Linked DNA regions of Anolis sagrei. The protein of the gene in region 2 interacts with the protein of the main gene of each other region in a pairwise test. Links are inferred from orthologs where the notes say so. Each region holds a gene or a part of one and is shown on either strand. Other genes may lie near its edges.

Evidence for each region.
Region 1: the proteins of FAM161A (region 2) and MIPOL1 interact in binary tests that used the Homo sapiens proteins (3 or more experiments, as listed by UniProt). The two-hybrid records come from large-scale screens. The link is inferred for Anolis sagrei from reciprocal best matches to the Homo sapiens genes FAM161A and MIPOL1.

Annotation. Positions count from the first base shown.
Region 1 is NC_090021.1:302,547,709-302,555,768, forward strand, and holds the start of MIPOL1 (mirror-image polydactyly gene 1 protein), read left to right. Parts: upstream 1-5,022; 5' UTR 5,023-5,153; intron 5,154-8,060.
Region 2 is NC_090021.1:151,971,973-151,979,157, forward strand, and holds the start of FAM161A (protein FAM161A), read right to left. Parts: upstream 3,082-7,185; 5' UTR 2,943-3,081; coding exon 2,814-2,942; intron 1-2,813. Other genes in the region: CCT4 (T-complex protein 1 subunit delta), read right to left, coding at 6,834-6,848, 7,081-7,185. UniProt on the Homo sapiens protein: Involved in ciliogenesis.

The sequences.
Region 1 (8,060 bases), about 150 Mb from region 2:
GTTGTGCATTTAAGTAAAGTGATCAGATCTAATTTGCCAAATAGTCACTGTTGAATGTTTTTATGTTGAATGTTTTTATATTGTGTAAATGCTATTTTAAATTGTAAGTTGCTCAGAGCACCTTGGTGGAGAGCGACTAATTAAGAAATAAAGTGAAGTGAAGTGAAATCTTGAAATTCCCAGATAGGTGTTTTCTTGGGTAAAAAAATAGCAATGTCTTTATTCATGGTTTCTCACTTTCATGTAGTTCATATCACCGATATTATTGAATGTGGAAACATGGGAGATGATACAAGATTCAGCCTCCTGGTGCTCTTATTAAAAGAAGATCATGTTCTTTTTTTAAATGAAGTTGAGCCAGGAGAGTAATTATGAGTCAATGAGCCTCAGTTTTGGATTGGTTTTTGACTGAGGCAGGACTCTTTATGACTGAGAGACATCAAAGTTACTCTAACTTAGTGGTTCTCAACCTTTCTTTGACCAGGGACATTTTGACCAGGGACCACTCTCCAACATTAGTACCCAAAGGGTTACAAATCAGTTTTTGGTCAACTTTAGATTCGGTTTGGTTATTTGGGGTGCTGATTTAGAAAACTGCATTGGATAGATCACACTAGCTCTAGTTTCTGATAGAGAACATATGTCATCCAGTAGTCACCATCTGCTCGCTCACCAAAAACCATATTTAATAAACCTCGGCATTATAAGAGGCTTTCACAAGATCAGCCGCTCTCATTGCAATGTTGTAGTAATGGTGAGGTTGCGGACCATATTTTAGTTCTGGCAGGACCACTGGTGTTCCACGGACCACAGATTGGGAACCACTGATCTAACTTCAACAGGCCTGTTCAGGTCTTGCAGACTCAGACCTATTGCTTCTCTCATTAAGTTTATCCATCTGAAATGTTGTCTTCCTCTTTTCCTACTGCTCTCCACATCTGCAAACATTATACTATGTAATAAAATTGATTTCTTTTCTGTTTCTGGTTTGAAAGTGTTATTTCCTGTTTAATTGTGCAGTAGTTTGAAAGTAGTTGTTATACTCTAGAAGCTTTGTTTTTGTGGCTGCCATAAACTATGTTGAATTGGCTGAGACTATTAGATATTCATTGAAAGTTACAGCAAAACATGCTGCAGGATGTCCCGCAAAGTTTTTGCAGTTTAATAAGCTTTCCCCATGTTTTTATGATAGAACCAAGTGGGAAATGACATTTATAACCCAGGAACAAAAACCGTGTTACATTATCACCGTGTTACATTTTCTTCTTATATGTCCAAAGTACAACAGTCTCCATTTAATCATCTTGGCAGTCTACAGTGTCTGCAGAACTCTTTTCCAGCACTTCACCTCAAATAAGTTGATTTTCTTCCAATTTGCTTTTGTTGTTGTTTTGTTTTGGGGTTTTGTTTTGTTTTGCTGTCCAGCTTTCACAACCATACATAGAAACGGGGCATACAACGACATGGACCATTCTAACTTTAGCATTCATGATATATCTCAACACTTTAGAATCTTGTCTAGTTTTTTCAAAACTGCCCTTCCAAACCTTTGTCATTTTCGGATTTTTTGACCACAATCTCAACTCTGATTAATGATTGAACCAAGTACGGGAAATCTTTAACTTTTTCAATGTCTACTTTAAAGTTATGTAAATCATTCATGGTCATTATATTTTGTTTTCTTAACGTTCAACTGTAAACCCGCTTCTGCACTTTCTACCTTGACTATTCAGTAATCATTCAATGTCTTGGTATTTTGGTGTCACTTGAATATTGTTGGTGCTCCTTCCTCCAATGTTTTTTTTCCCCTCTCAGTCTAATTGGCCCCCAAAACCCACTAAATCAGTGCCCAGTGGTGCCCAGATGTTTTGGCCTTCAACTCCCAGAAATCCTAACTGGTGGTAAATGGCCTGGGATTTCTGGGAGTTGGAGGCCAAAACATCTGAGGACCCACAGGTTGAGAACCACTGCAAATGAATTCAGAGAAGTCACACTCTCTCAACCTCAGAGGAAAGCAAGGGGCTACCGAAATCAAATCCTTTACATAATTTTGGGCCTTCAAGTCATTTCTGATTCATGGTGAACCATATTGGGGTTTCCTTGGCAGAATTTGATCCAAGGAGTATTTGCCCGTACTTCCCTCCAAAGCTGAGAGAGAGTGACTTTCCCAAAGCCACTCAGTATGCTTCCATGGCCAAACAGGACTTCAAACCCCAATCCAACACTCAAGCAACAACACAATTGTGGTGAATGACTTAACAGCGAGGCTTCGGGTTGCTCTGTATGGCAATCAATTTTGGGTTGAGCATCCATTATGCAGAATTTCAAATTCTGAAATAGTCCATGGATTTTTGCTCTGATGGTATAGGGTACACAAATAGTCTCACATACAAAATTATTGATATGGTGTATAAAATTACCTTAAAGCTATTTGCATAGTTATATGGCACATGAATGAATTTCGTGTTTAGCCACAAGTCTCATCCACATATCTTATTCTGTATATGCAAGTACTGTATTCCAAAATCCCCAAAAATCCAAACTATGAACTAATTCTGTTCCCAAGCATTTCAAATAATGGATAGTCAACTTATAATTAGAGAAAGGGCGTAGATATGGCCCTACCATTATAAAGAGCAGGTTTCAATGGGATGGATATGAAATGAGTTTTCAAAAGTTTTTTTCCCTCTCTTCCGCCTAGTTTAAGTAGATGCCAGCTAGGGTTGCATCTGCACTGTAGCAGGGATACAGTTTGGCACTACTTCTAACTGCCATGGCACAATCCTGTGGAAAGTTGTAGTTTGGCAAAGACCAGTACTCATAGACCTTGTAAAACTATAACTCTCAGGATTCTTTAATATTGAGCCTTGGGAGCTAAAGTGGTCTCAAACTCCATAAATGCTCCAGTGGAGACGTACCTTGGATTTTCAAGCTGATTAAAGAGTTAATGGGTTGCTGTGAGTTTTCCGGGCTGCATGGCCATGTTCCAGAAGCATTCTCTCCTGACGTTTCGCCTGCACCTATGGCAGGCATCCTCAGAAGTTGTGAAGTCTCAGAGACACTGACTTCTCAGAGCTTGTGACCTCACTGGGTTGCTGTGAGTTTTCTGGGCTGTATGGCCATGTTCCAGAAGCATTCTCTCCTGACGTTTCGCCTGCACCTATGCAGGCGAAACGTCAGGAGAGAATGCTTCTGGAACATGGCCATACAACCCAGAAAACTCACAGCAACCCAGTGATTCTGGCCATGAAAGTCTTCGACAACATAAGGAGTTAATCCCCTTTACTATGCACCACCTCTTCCTCCTAACTTCTATGAGTTAATCAAACTCCTCCCCCCTTTTCGAACACTCCCAAACAACACTCAGTCTTCGCCCACCAATGAGGTTCTTCTGTCCCGCCTCCATCGTTTGATTGACATCTAGGGCCAGCGACTGGATGACAGTTCCAAGCCTGTTGGTCACGCCTCCTGCGTGAATGTTTGTTGTGCCAGAATGAGCACAGAGTGTGGAAATAGTAGAGCACCAAGAGCCGTTGAGCTTCCGGGTTGCTTATTCATTTCGTCCCAAGGTATACCTATAAGATGACCCTTGAGAAAGCCAGCCTTTCAGCAATGACCGGGCCTAGACTCATCTTAGAAACTAGAGGAAGCTGTAAATATATAAAGGGAAAAGGGAATTTATATGGAAACATTAAAAAGAGTTTTCTAATATGAACACAATAAAGAATACTCAAATATTATGATAGCCAACCAGGCAATGGTAATACTGAGAAGTGGAGATGAGCCCAATCTGCAATGCAGTAGACTCTCAGTTAACTGGCACCCATGGGGCTATGTAGATACCGGATAGGTGTAGTTTCTGGTTGCTTGAGAGCTACTATTAAAAATGGGCCTAGTATAGTATACTTCATACCAGAAATTTTGTATTGATATTAATATTGAAATACAGTAGTTGAAAGCAAATAAAGACAAACTTAATTTAAACTTCCATTTCTACTAAAATTGGTTTAATTTTAATGTATTATTTCTTTGCTTTTGTAGGTTGCTTGAGTTCTGGTTGAGAGTTTCCCGTATAAACAATGGGATGAACTACATCAACCACAAGCCCAAACTGAATCCCAGTTGCATGTCAAACTATATTAACTCTGTATTGTTGAAAGGCTTTCGTGGCCAGAATCACTGGGTTGTGGTAGGTTTTTCGGGCTGTATGGCCATGTTCTAGAAGCATTCTCTCCTGACGTTTCGCCTACAACTGTGGCAGGCATCCTCAAAAGTTGTGAGGTCTGTTGGAAACTAGAACAATTGGGTTTATATATCTGTGGAAAGTCCAGTGTGGGAGAAAGAACTCTTGTCTGTTGGAGCTAGGTGTAATTGTTTCAATTGGCCACCTTGATTAGCATTTGATGGCCTGACGGTTTTTAGGTGTAACTTGTTACTGCCTGGGAAAATCCTTTGTTGAGAGGTGATTAGGTGTTCCTGTTTGTTTCTTGTCTGGAGTTTTGTTCTTTGTTTACTGTTATAATTTTATATTTTATATTAACTCTACAGTGTAACTGCACCCTTGGCCTAACATGCAACCCACACAGAAGATGCATCTACACCAGTGGTTCCCAACCTGGGGTCCCCAGATGTTTTTGGCCTACAATTCCCAGAAATCCTAACAGCTGGTAAACTAGCTTGGATTTCTGGGAGTTGTAGGCCAAAAACATCTGGGGACCCAAGGTTGAGAAGCACTGATCTACACAGTCTGAATTAATGCAGTTTGACACCACTTTAACTGCCAGGTCTCAATGCTATGGGATCCTGGGCGTTGTGGCTTGAGAAGGCTCCAGCAGAGAAGGCAAGATAACTTTTAAAACTACAACTTCTGTGGTTTCATAGCATTGACCCATGGCAGTTAAAGTGGTGTCAAACTGCATTAATGCTATAGTGTAGAGAGGCACCCGTGGGTTCTCGAATGAGGAGTGTCTCCACCCAGCCTTTCCCTCGGGGGAGAGGGGAGGTGTCGCAAGGGCGCCGGAAGTGGACAGCGTAGAGGCGAGTCTACAAATGAATGAAGCTCAGTCGCCCTAGCCCTTTGGGGGTCGCGAGCCCAGCGGTGCCGCTTCCTTCGCCTCACGCGCGCAACCCGGCCGACTGCGCGAGGCAAATAGGTAACTGCAGCCGCCTTTCTAACGGGACGGAATTCCTTTTGGGAGGGGTAGGAGGAGGGGGAAAAGAACTGCAACACGCATGCGCACGGAGTGGCTAGGAAGTTCCCTCTTAAGCATTCATTACCAGGGCAATCTCTGATTTCCTCTCCTCTGGTAGAATGAATGCAGTTTGATACCAAGTCAAGGGCCATGGCTCAATGCTATGGAATCTGTAGTTGTGCAAGGGCTTCAGCCTCCCCTGGTGCCTTGGCAAAACTACAACTCCCAGGGCTCCTTAGCTTTGACCCATGACGGTTCAAAGTAGTGCCAAACTGCATTCATTCTACAACAGGCATGGGCAAACTTTGGCTAAGCAGATGAGGGGCAAAAAGAAAGGGCCTGAGGCTGTTAGGAATTGTGGGAGTTGTAGTCCAAAACAACTGGAGGGGCGAAGTTTGCCCATGCCTGTTCTACAGTGTAAGCTGAGTGTTTGGGGACTGTGGAGGGGTTTGGGAAGCATCAGAAGAGGATAATAAAAGGTGTTCCCGCTTGCACTGCCTTCCATGTATTAGGGCACCTTTGAGATTAACTGTTGAATGAATGCATTTTGATACTATTTTAACTCAATTCCATAACTCAAGGCTATGGAATCCTTAGAGTTGTAATCCTACAAGGCCATTAGTCTTCTCTACCAAAGGATGACCACAAACCCAGAATTCTGTAACACAGAGCCATGTGGTGTCAAACTGTGTTAATTCTACAGTGGAGATGCACTCAAGGAAAACATTGCTAGGGAGGAGGCACGACATTCCAAAGCAGAGTCCATTGGTCACCTCTGGACCCCACTACCAAAAGGTGCTGGTGCTCTTAACAGCATTGATATAATGTTATATTCTTATGAGTTGCAACCCCAGTATATTCCTCTTTTGACTTTTCTTTTTGTGCTGTTTTGAATTTGAATATAGAGTGCAATTGCAAAACATTTCCAGGTGGTAGGCATTAACTCTGATCAGATTTAGAGAAGAGGATCAAAAGCAAGGCCTCCTGAAAACAGGGAAGGTTGTAATCCTATGCACGCTAATATGAAAGTAAACTATTAAATTTAGTGGGGCAAACTGTCAAATAGATATGTATGGTGGCCAGTTACTATAAGTTTGTATTTATGTGTTTGTTTACTGTTTGGTTTGATTTGTTTTGTTTCTATTGTTTATTGTGGTATTAAATGTTTTCCATCCTTTTTGGGAAATTGCCCTGAGGATCCCCTCCCCCGGGAGATAGGACAGGTTATAAATAAAGTTTTATTATTATATTATAGTATATTATTATTATTATTATTAGTAGTAGTAGTAAAGGTAAAAGTTTCCCCTGACATTAAGTCCAGTCATGCCCGACTCTGGGGGGTGGTGCTCATCTCCATTTCTAAGCCGAAGAGCCAGCACTGTCCATAGACACCTCCAAGGCCATGTAGCTAGTATGACTACATGGAGCACTGTTACCTTCCCGCAAAAGTGGTTCCCATTGATCTACTCACTTTGCATGTTTTCAAACTGCTAGGTTGGGAGAAAGTGGGCCTAACAACGGGAGCTCACCCTGCTCCCCGAATTTGATTTGCCAACCTTTCGGTCAGCAAGATCAGCAGCTCAGAGGTGTAACCCGCTGCACCAGTGGGGGGGGGGCATTATTATTATAGTGCAAGACAAATGGAAAAGGATGGAAGACAGAAGATCTGCCAGAATCCTTTATTTTTATAACATATAGGACAAACATGCTACTAAGTTGTCACAACCTAATTGGTTCTGACTCCTAGTCTTTTTAAATATTACTATTAAATTGGTTCTGACTTCTAGTCTTTTTTAATATTATTGTATTATTACTGGGAGGTGGTGCTCATCTCCATTTCTAAGCCAAAGAGCCAGTGTTGTCCGTAGACACCTCCACGGCCGGCATGACTGCCTGGAGCATCGTTACCTTCCTGCAGAAGTGGTACCTATTGATCTACTCACATTTGCATGTTCTCGAACTGCTAGGTTGACAAAAGCTGGGCCTAACAGCGAGAGCCTACCCTGCTCCCTGGATTCAAACTTCCAACCTTTCAGTCAGCAAGTTCAGCAGCTCAGCGGTTTAACCCGCTGTGCTACCAGGAGGCCCATTATTATTATAGTGCAAGAGAAATAGAAAGGGATAGCAGACAAAAGATCTGCCAGTAGCCTTTATTTTTTTAACATATAAGACAAACATGCTACTAAGTTGTCACAACCTCATTGGTTCTGACTTCTGGTCTCTTAAATATTTTTATTATTTATTTGTGGCCACCTCTCCTGAAGGCAGGGTACAGTACAGCTAAAGTACATTACCATATAGGACTGAGTGATAAAAGGTTGGAAATTTCAAATCTAATAATAATATTTGTGACTACCAAACTAAAGTAAGATATTTGACTTTTCTCTTTTCCATGCCTCCTTCTGAATTACTTTGTAAATAAGCCAAGTTTTGTTGTGAGTATATGTAAATCTATGAATAAGAGAGAGAAAGATTGTGTTTCTCTCTTAGCTCCCCTAAAAATAAGTTTTAGGGTGACACTGTTTTTTTTAAAAAAAACTTTAGCCGAGACCCAGTCTATCGATCTTTGTCACTGCTGGCTTTGGGATATAATCATAACATTCAGTGCTGCTGGACCTTTTCAGATATCCCAGGATTTGCATTCTGTGGCCCTATCTACACTGACCATTTAATGCAGTTTCAAAATAGCATTTAAGAATGCTCTTCTGCTGTGCAAATGATACCATGGAACCAGTTTGAGGGTCAGATGATAATTACCCAAATAACAGAGCACTGGGGTGCATTGAGGGCTTTCTTTCTTTTGTGAGAGTTTATTATTTGGTCGCCACATTTTGAACTTAGCTTCAAACTGCATTAAATGGCTAGTGT
Region 2 (7,185 bases):
ACTTGCAAGACAGAAAAGGTCAATGAATACAAGGTTAGGAAATGGAAGAGATCTGAACATGGACATGGACGCAGAATATTAATGCTGAAGATTCCTTTTTTGATGAACAAAAAATTAATCGGAAAACAATTCAGCATTGATTACATTTCAAGTAAAATCTATAACTCTGAATATAAATATGGTTATATTAAACAGTAACATGCTTCTAGTAAACATATTTTAATAGAGATTTTAATTATTTATTTAATTATTAAAACTAAGTGTTTCAGGAAATTTCAATTACGATTTCAACCAGTTTGATCACAATTAAATCAACTGTGCCTAGTACATCAACACTGTACGAACCCAGGCCACACAGCTCTTATCAGGTTAGAAAAAGCATCAGCAGCTAAATGAATTCTGGTCTCTAAGCTCAGGCTTTTTCCTAGTTGTACAACAGGGAATAAATGTGTGGTTTTCCTAACTTGCCAAATGTACAAGTAGGCTAGCAAAGCTTCAGTTATGGAACTGGGACATCTTCATGTCCTGTGTCTGATTTTTTAAGGAAAAAAGGCTGAAGGGGCAGCATTACATGGGATCTGCCGTTTATTTGTTTAGGTAGCATTGCGATATATATCATACAGCAGAGCTTTCCAAACATTTCATATCAGTGACACACTTTTGAGACATGCATCATTTTGTGACACGGAGATTCAGTTTTATAGCAACCTGTAGGTTAAACCTTTTTATTGAAACTTTTTTATTCGGGCAGGGTTTTTAAAAGGAAGGCTTTTAAAATCAGGTCAGAGGGTTGCTGTGGCTTTAGTTTTGAATACATGTTTATCTGTTTTAAGGATTTAAACTATTAATGTTTATTTCTATTTTAATGTTTGTATATTTTTGGATTTTAAAATGTACGGAAACGCTTTCAAGGTCTCCTTTGAGTCTCCTTTGTGGAGAGGAAAAAGTGGGGTATAAATAAACATCATCATCATCATGCAACTTCTTAAAAGAGATACACACATATATAAATTGTAATAAAAATGTATGGGGACACAACTTATCTCATGAAATTCCTTTTATATGTGTGTGTGTGTGTTTAAAATATATGATTTATTGCTTATTTCACAGAGACTCATAGCACACTAGAGCTGAAAAAGTAGGCAAAGAATCTGCACCCCGTCTGAAATCCTGTGTCTGCTTCCTGTTGAATCAGGGGCTTCAGGGGACTCATATGTGTTCCCCGTAGGTCCATGTCATTGTTGACATTTATATATTGACTTGAAGAACTCTCTACTGTGGTAAATTGACTATTCAAGGATTTCTACACTTGTATCAACTACCACCTGAGGAAGACGCCACATAGTCAAAACTGGTTGTGGTTTATGAACTGTGGACTTCAAAAAAGGGCTGACAAACCTTGATTTGCTGCTGACAAACATTGTTTTAAAAAATGACTTATAAACTTGTGCATTCTGCTGTAGGAATCAGATGTTTATCCCACATTAGGAAATTTTTTGATTCAGAGACTTGCAAAGAAAGGACTTAAAAACTTTGATTGGTTGTTTCTAAACTTGTGATTTTCAAAAAGGACTGATAAACTTGTGCATTTTACTGTAGGAATCAGGTGTTTATCCCACATAAAGGATTTTTTTGGTTTAGAGATTTGCATTGTGTATCTCGGTTAAGTATACTTTGTACAAGCTGTTAGTACATTGAATGTTGTAGTACTACAGCACAGATCTAATGTACATTCTCATGATTATATAACTGCATTACTTTTTGTGTATAGTAGCCTTTTGCCCTTGTGCTTCAGGGGAGCCCCCGATGGCACAGTGGGTTAAACCCTTGTGCCAGCAGGACTGAAGACCGACAGGTAGCAGGTTCAAATCTAGGGAAAGTACAGATGAGCTCCCTCCGTCAGCTCCAGCTCCCCATGTGGGGACATGAGAGTAGCCTCCCACACGGATGGTGAAACCTCAGAAACATCCAGGCGTCCCCTGGGCAACACCCTTGCAGATGGTCACACCAGAAGTGACTTGCAGTTTCTCAAGTCGCCCCTGACATTAAAAAATGAGGCTTCAGGGGAGGGGCCTTTAAAATGCTGTCAGAGGGGCACTGGGTCTCCCTAAACTACAAGCCTCAAAATCCTTCAGAAGGCAGCCACAGGATTTCAGATAGGATGCAGACTCTTTGCTTACTTTTTCAGTTTTAGTGTGATACTGGGTTGTTATAGGTTTTTCGGGCTATATGGCCATGTTGTAGAAGCATTCTCTCCTGACGTTTTGCCTGCATCTATGGCAGGCATCCTCAGAGATTGGGAGTTTTAGTGTGATACTTTGAGACAGGTGGGGCATAGGAACGAAATTCAATGTAGAATATGCTGTAGCTGGAAAGAATAAACTGCAGGTGAAGATGTGTAAGTAGATGCAGGACCTGTGATTAATGGGGCTCTATGGGATTGTGAGTTAGGCTCACATTGGGTTGTAGGCTTTTCGGGCTATATGGTCATGTTGTAGAAGCATTCTCTCCTGATGTTTCGCCTGCATCTATGGCAGGCATCCGCAGAGGTTGTGCTTATAGAACTTGGCCATATAGCCCAAAAAACCTACAATAACCCAGTGAATCTGGCCATGGAAGCCTTCGACAAGACATAGGCTCACATTTCCACTACTCGAAAGTATCCTAAGATCAATACAATTATTTCAGGTGGGATGCAGGCTCTTGGCCTAGTCTTTCAGCTCTAGTAGGGCACGGCGACCTTGTCAGGCAGGACGTGTGGGCCTGTCCTGGCTTCCCTCTGAGGCTGAGAGGGTGTGCTTTGAGGTACCCACCTGCGGCCAGGCTCCGTCCCCCCGCTCCCGCTCCCGCTCGTACAGCGCCGTGGGGGCCTTGGTGTGAGGGTCCACCGGCCTTCGGAGGCAGGACACAGCGAGGGAAGCGGCCCGGTGACCCGCATCCATCCCGCTCCCCGCGAGCGCGCGACTGAATGAAAGCCCTCGCTGGGTTACCAAGGCGCCCGGCTTGGGACGCTACGGCATCTCTTAGGGAACACAACACCTTCGCTAACGGCCGCGCGGACAGGACTCTCCTGAGGGCGGGGCCTCCAGGACAATTGTGCGCACGCGCCGAAAAGAACCGCACGTCGCCCATTGACAGAACTAAACTACATTGACCTCCAGCTGGCCCCATTCATCCTCTGTTGTCCCACTTTCTTATCTCTCCTCCCAATTTCCCTCCCTCCTTCTTCATCTTACTGCAGCTGCTGCAGAATGAGTTCAAAGCCTTCCAGGTAGGCCCCCATAGCCCAGGATTTGGCCCCGGTTTTTCTGTTTATCCCAGATTATCTGGCAGTGTGGACTCATATAAAGGTAAAGGTTGTCCCCTGACATTAAGTCCAGTCATGTCTGACTCTGGGGTGTGGTGCTCATCTCCATTTCTAAGCCGAAGAGCCGGCGTTGTCCATAGACACCTCCAAGGTCATATGGCCGGCATGACTGCATGGAGCGCAGTTACCTTCCCGCCGGAGTGGTACCTATTGATCTACTCACATTTGCATGTTTTCGAACTGCTAGGTTGGCAGAAGCTGGGGCTGACAGCGGAAGCTCACGCCGCTCCCTGGAATCGAACCTGCGACCTTTTGGTCAACAAGCTCAGCAGTTCAGTTCTTTAACCCACTGCGCCACCGGACTCATATAATCCAGTTTAAAACAGAAAACCTGGGATCAGATTCTGGGATATAGGGCCTGTCGGGAAAAAACCCTTATTTTGCCTCTTTTGACTCAGGAGGAGTGCAAACTCTTGCCCAAGCAAAAGGGAAGCATGGATTATGCTGTAGAGCATACTCAGAAATTGTATTATTGTTTTAGCTGACGGTTTTATGTTGCGATGTTTTTAAGATGATGTAAACTGCCTAGGGTCCGCCTGAGGAAAGGTGGCATAGACATTTCCTAAATAAATAAATAAAAGGCAACTGCCTTCTCTCTTTGCTTGGGTTCCCCTCATTCAATAACCTTTGCCATCTTTACCATAAATGTATTGTCAAAGGTTGGAATCACAGGGTTGCTGTGAGTTTTTCAGGCTGTATGGCCATGTTTCAGTAGCATTTTCCCCTGACGTTTCACCTGCATCTTTGGCTAATGGCATCTTCAGAGGTTCTGTTGGCAGTGAAGCAAATGGGTGTGTGTGTATGTAGGGAATGCCCAGGGTGGGAGAAAGAACCCTTGTCTATTTGTTGCAGTTTGCAAGCTCGATTAGCATTGAATAGCTTTGCAACTGCAATCAATTAGTGAGAGTATTGTTGTCTGGAGGCATCATTTGGGAGGTAATAACGGGCACTTGGTTGTTTGCTGTCTGGAGTTGTTTTCTTTTTTAAAATATTTTTATTAGTTTTGAAAATAATGCACTTAAAAGGAGAAAGAGAAAGAAAAAAGAGAAAGAGGGGAACGGGGGGGGGGGGGCTGAAAGGGAGAGGGAAGGGTTGTGACTTAGTGATGAGTTGAGGTGTAAAGAGAAAGAAAAAAAGGGGGGTGCAGGATTGGTGGATGGAGGAGCATTTGTAGTCTTCATATTCTGTCCCGTAGGTTGATGGTATTTTTCCTTATCATTTTCCTTGTTTTCTGTCCTTGTATCTTTATTCTTTCTTATCGGATTCTTTCTTCTATGAAGTTCTTGACTGTGGTCCAATCAGTCTTCTCTTGTTTTCCCTTGATTGTTTCTAAGGTTGTGTGTAAGATAGTCCATATTCATAATTTCTGTAACTTTTATTATCCAGCCTTCAATACTTGGTGTGTCTTTCTCTTTCCACTTTTTAGCATATGTGATTCTCGCAGCCGTAGTCAAGTAGCTAAATAATTTTTCCAGTATAGACAATTAAAAGAGGCATTCCAGAGACAAGAAAATTGGATTTGAAAAAGAAAAATCATGGGATAAGAACCTGATCTCTAAAAACAAACTAATTTCCAGAATTTACAAAATATTACTCGCTTGGTCAACGGAAAAAGAACATAAAAGAATGCATGGTGAGGTGGGCACAAAACATCGGCCACAATATATGTATATCAGAATGGGAGAGCATATGGAACATCACACTAAAATACACAGACTCCCATGATCTATGCGAGAAGTGGTACAAGATGATGTACCGCTGGTACATAACTCCAAGCAAATTATCCAAATGTTACAAGAACATGTCAGATAAATGTTGGAAATGCCATTCTCAGGTGGGTTCCTTTTTCCACCTCTGGTGGTCATGTAAAAAGGCAATTAAATTTTGGAAAATGATACTCATTGCAATGGAAAAGATTATTGGCCAACCCATAGAACTGAAACCGAATACGTCTTACTAGGAATTGTCGAGTTCTCCTGTTTTCAAGTGGTGTTTCTTTATTTACTGTATTGATTATGGTGTTTTTAATACTGGTAACCAGAATTTGTTCATTTTCATGGTTTCCTCTGCATATTTGTGGATTTCAATGGCTTGTGGATTTCAGTTACCATAAATGCTGTCACAGCTGTCCTGGTTTTCATCTGAAATGTTGGGACATAGCTGTGAATTGGTGGCAGTTGGTAACTAGTCTCAAAGCTTAGTAAGAGAAGATTCTGTGCTATTCAAAAATTGAGATTTATTGAGTAGGGAAAATGAGTTACAGCCATTTCTCAGGACTTGGTGGCCAGAGGAGTCTTCCATTACACTCCTGTATATTAAGAAATACATCCATATGCATGGCAGAGCAGCTACCTTTACTCCCGCTGGCATGGATGGGGAGCAGGGATGTATGGTTATCATGAGCCCATATGAGGGATTTGTGTGCTGTCTTACAGTCACTTTGTACTGTATTTTAGCATTATAATTCTTGCAATTCAAAGGAGCAACATCTGCACCTCATTATCTTTAGGCTGGAGCTACACTTACTTCCTATTCACAAATAATCCATTAGTACTCTGAATCCGTTTTAGTTTTGCTTACAGATATTGCTACAAGCCACAAGTGTCCTGAAAAACCATCTGTGCATGCCGTTTCTCCTCACAAGTTTGAAGAACCCTTATATGTGCCTCTGGGATATGTGACTTACTATTTAGATACCCGCATTTCATCACATAATAGTCTCCATTGCAAAAAATGGGCTTTTTTCACTGTGCAACAGTTGCCACCACATAATAATCACACACCTCTTTTTTTCACCTTGCGTCTTAGAACAGAGACAGCAGTACTGGGTTTGGACAATCTTTTCGCAGCCTCACTGTATCCAAATTTCTAGGTGTTACAAGAAGTGACCAACACCTACTATTAAAAAGACATTGCCTTTAACTACCAATTTGGGATAAAAATGTTGCATGTCTTGTATTTTCTTCAGAATACCGTTCTTAACATGTGTCAATCCTGTTCTTAGAAACTATTATTAGATTTATACGATACAACATTTAATTATACCTTCAGTGAAATACATGCTAGATTTAAAAGTACCAATTGCTGACAGTTAACAGCTGACAGATACGGTTACAGCCCAAGACATGACATAAATAAAGCCCCACAAATTAAGTCTCACTAATTTCAAAGGATGTGAAATTGCTTAAGTCTCTTCAGCCACAATAGTAGAGTTTAAAGGTAGACATGGTCTAGCAAAGTGTAAAGCAGAGCTTTTGGCAATCAATGCAATATGTGTTCAAGTATTTTGTTATATAAAAAAATTAAAACAAAGCCTTTCAAATTTGAGGTTTTATTAATTTAAATTGACAAAAGTACGCCAGTGTAACTTGGAATTAAGCAGATGTCCAACACAGTTTGTGTGAAGACGTCATGTTAGAAACGTATGACATGTTGCTGACCTGTGCTTTCTTTTCCTTTAGACCTTTCATCGAGTGTTTACCTGCAAAAAATGAGAGATTATTGTATGACACTTCATCACTATATTACTTATTTAACATTATTCAATATAATTTCCACTAATAATTACAATGCCTCTTTGAATCTTAACTATTTCATCAGTTGTCATTAAACACTCAGCATTTCAACACTGATGCAAGGCAGTAACAGATCTGTGAAATGTAACAAAGTAAACATTTGAGAGAACATTTTATGAGTATTTAAACTATGCTTACCACATCGTCAATCTTCAGGATGCTGCGTACGGTTTCTGTAGCCAGGGTGAGAGCGCTGACAGATACCAACAACGGTTGGACAACCAACTCCTCAAGGATATTGGA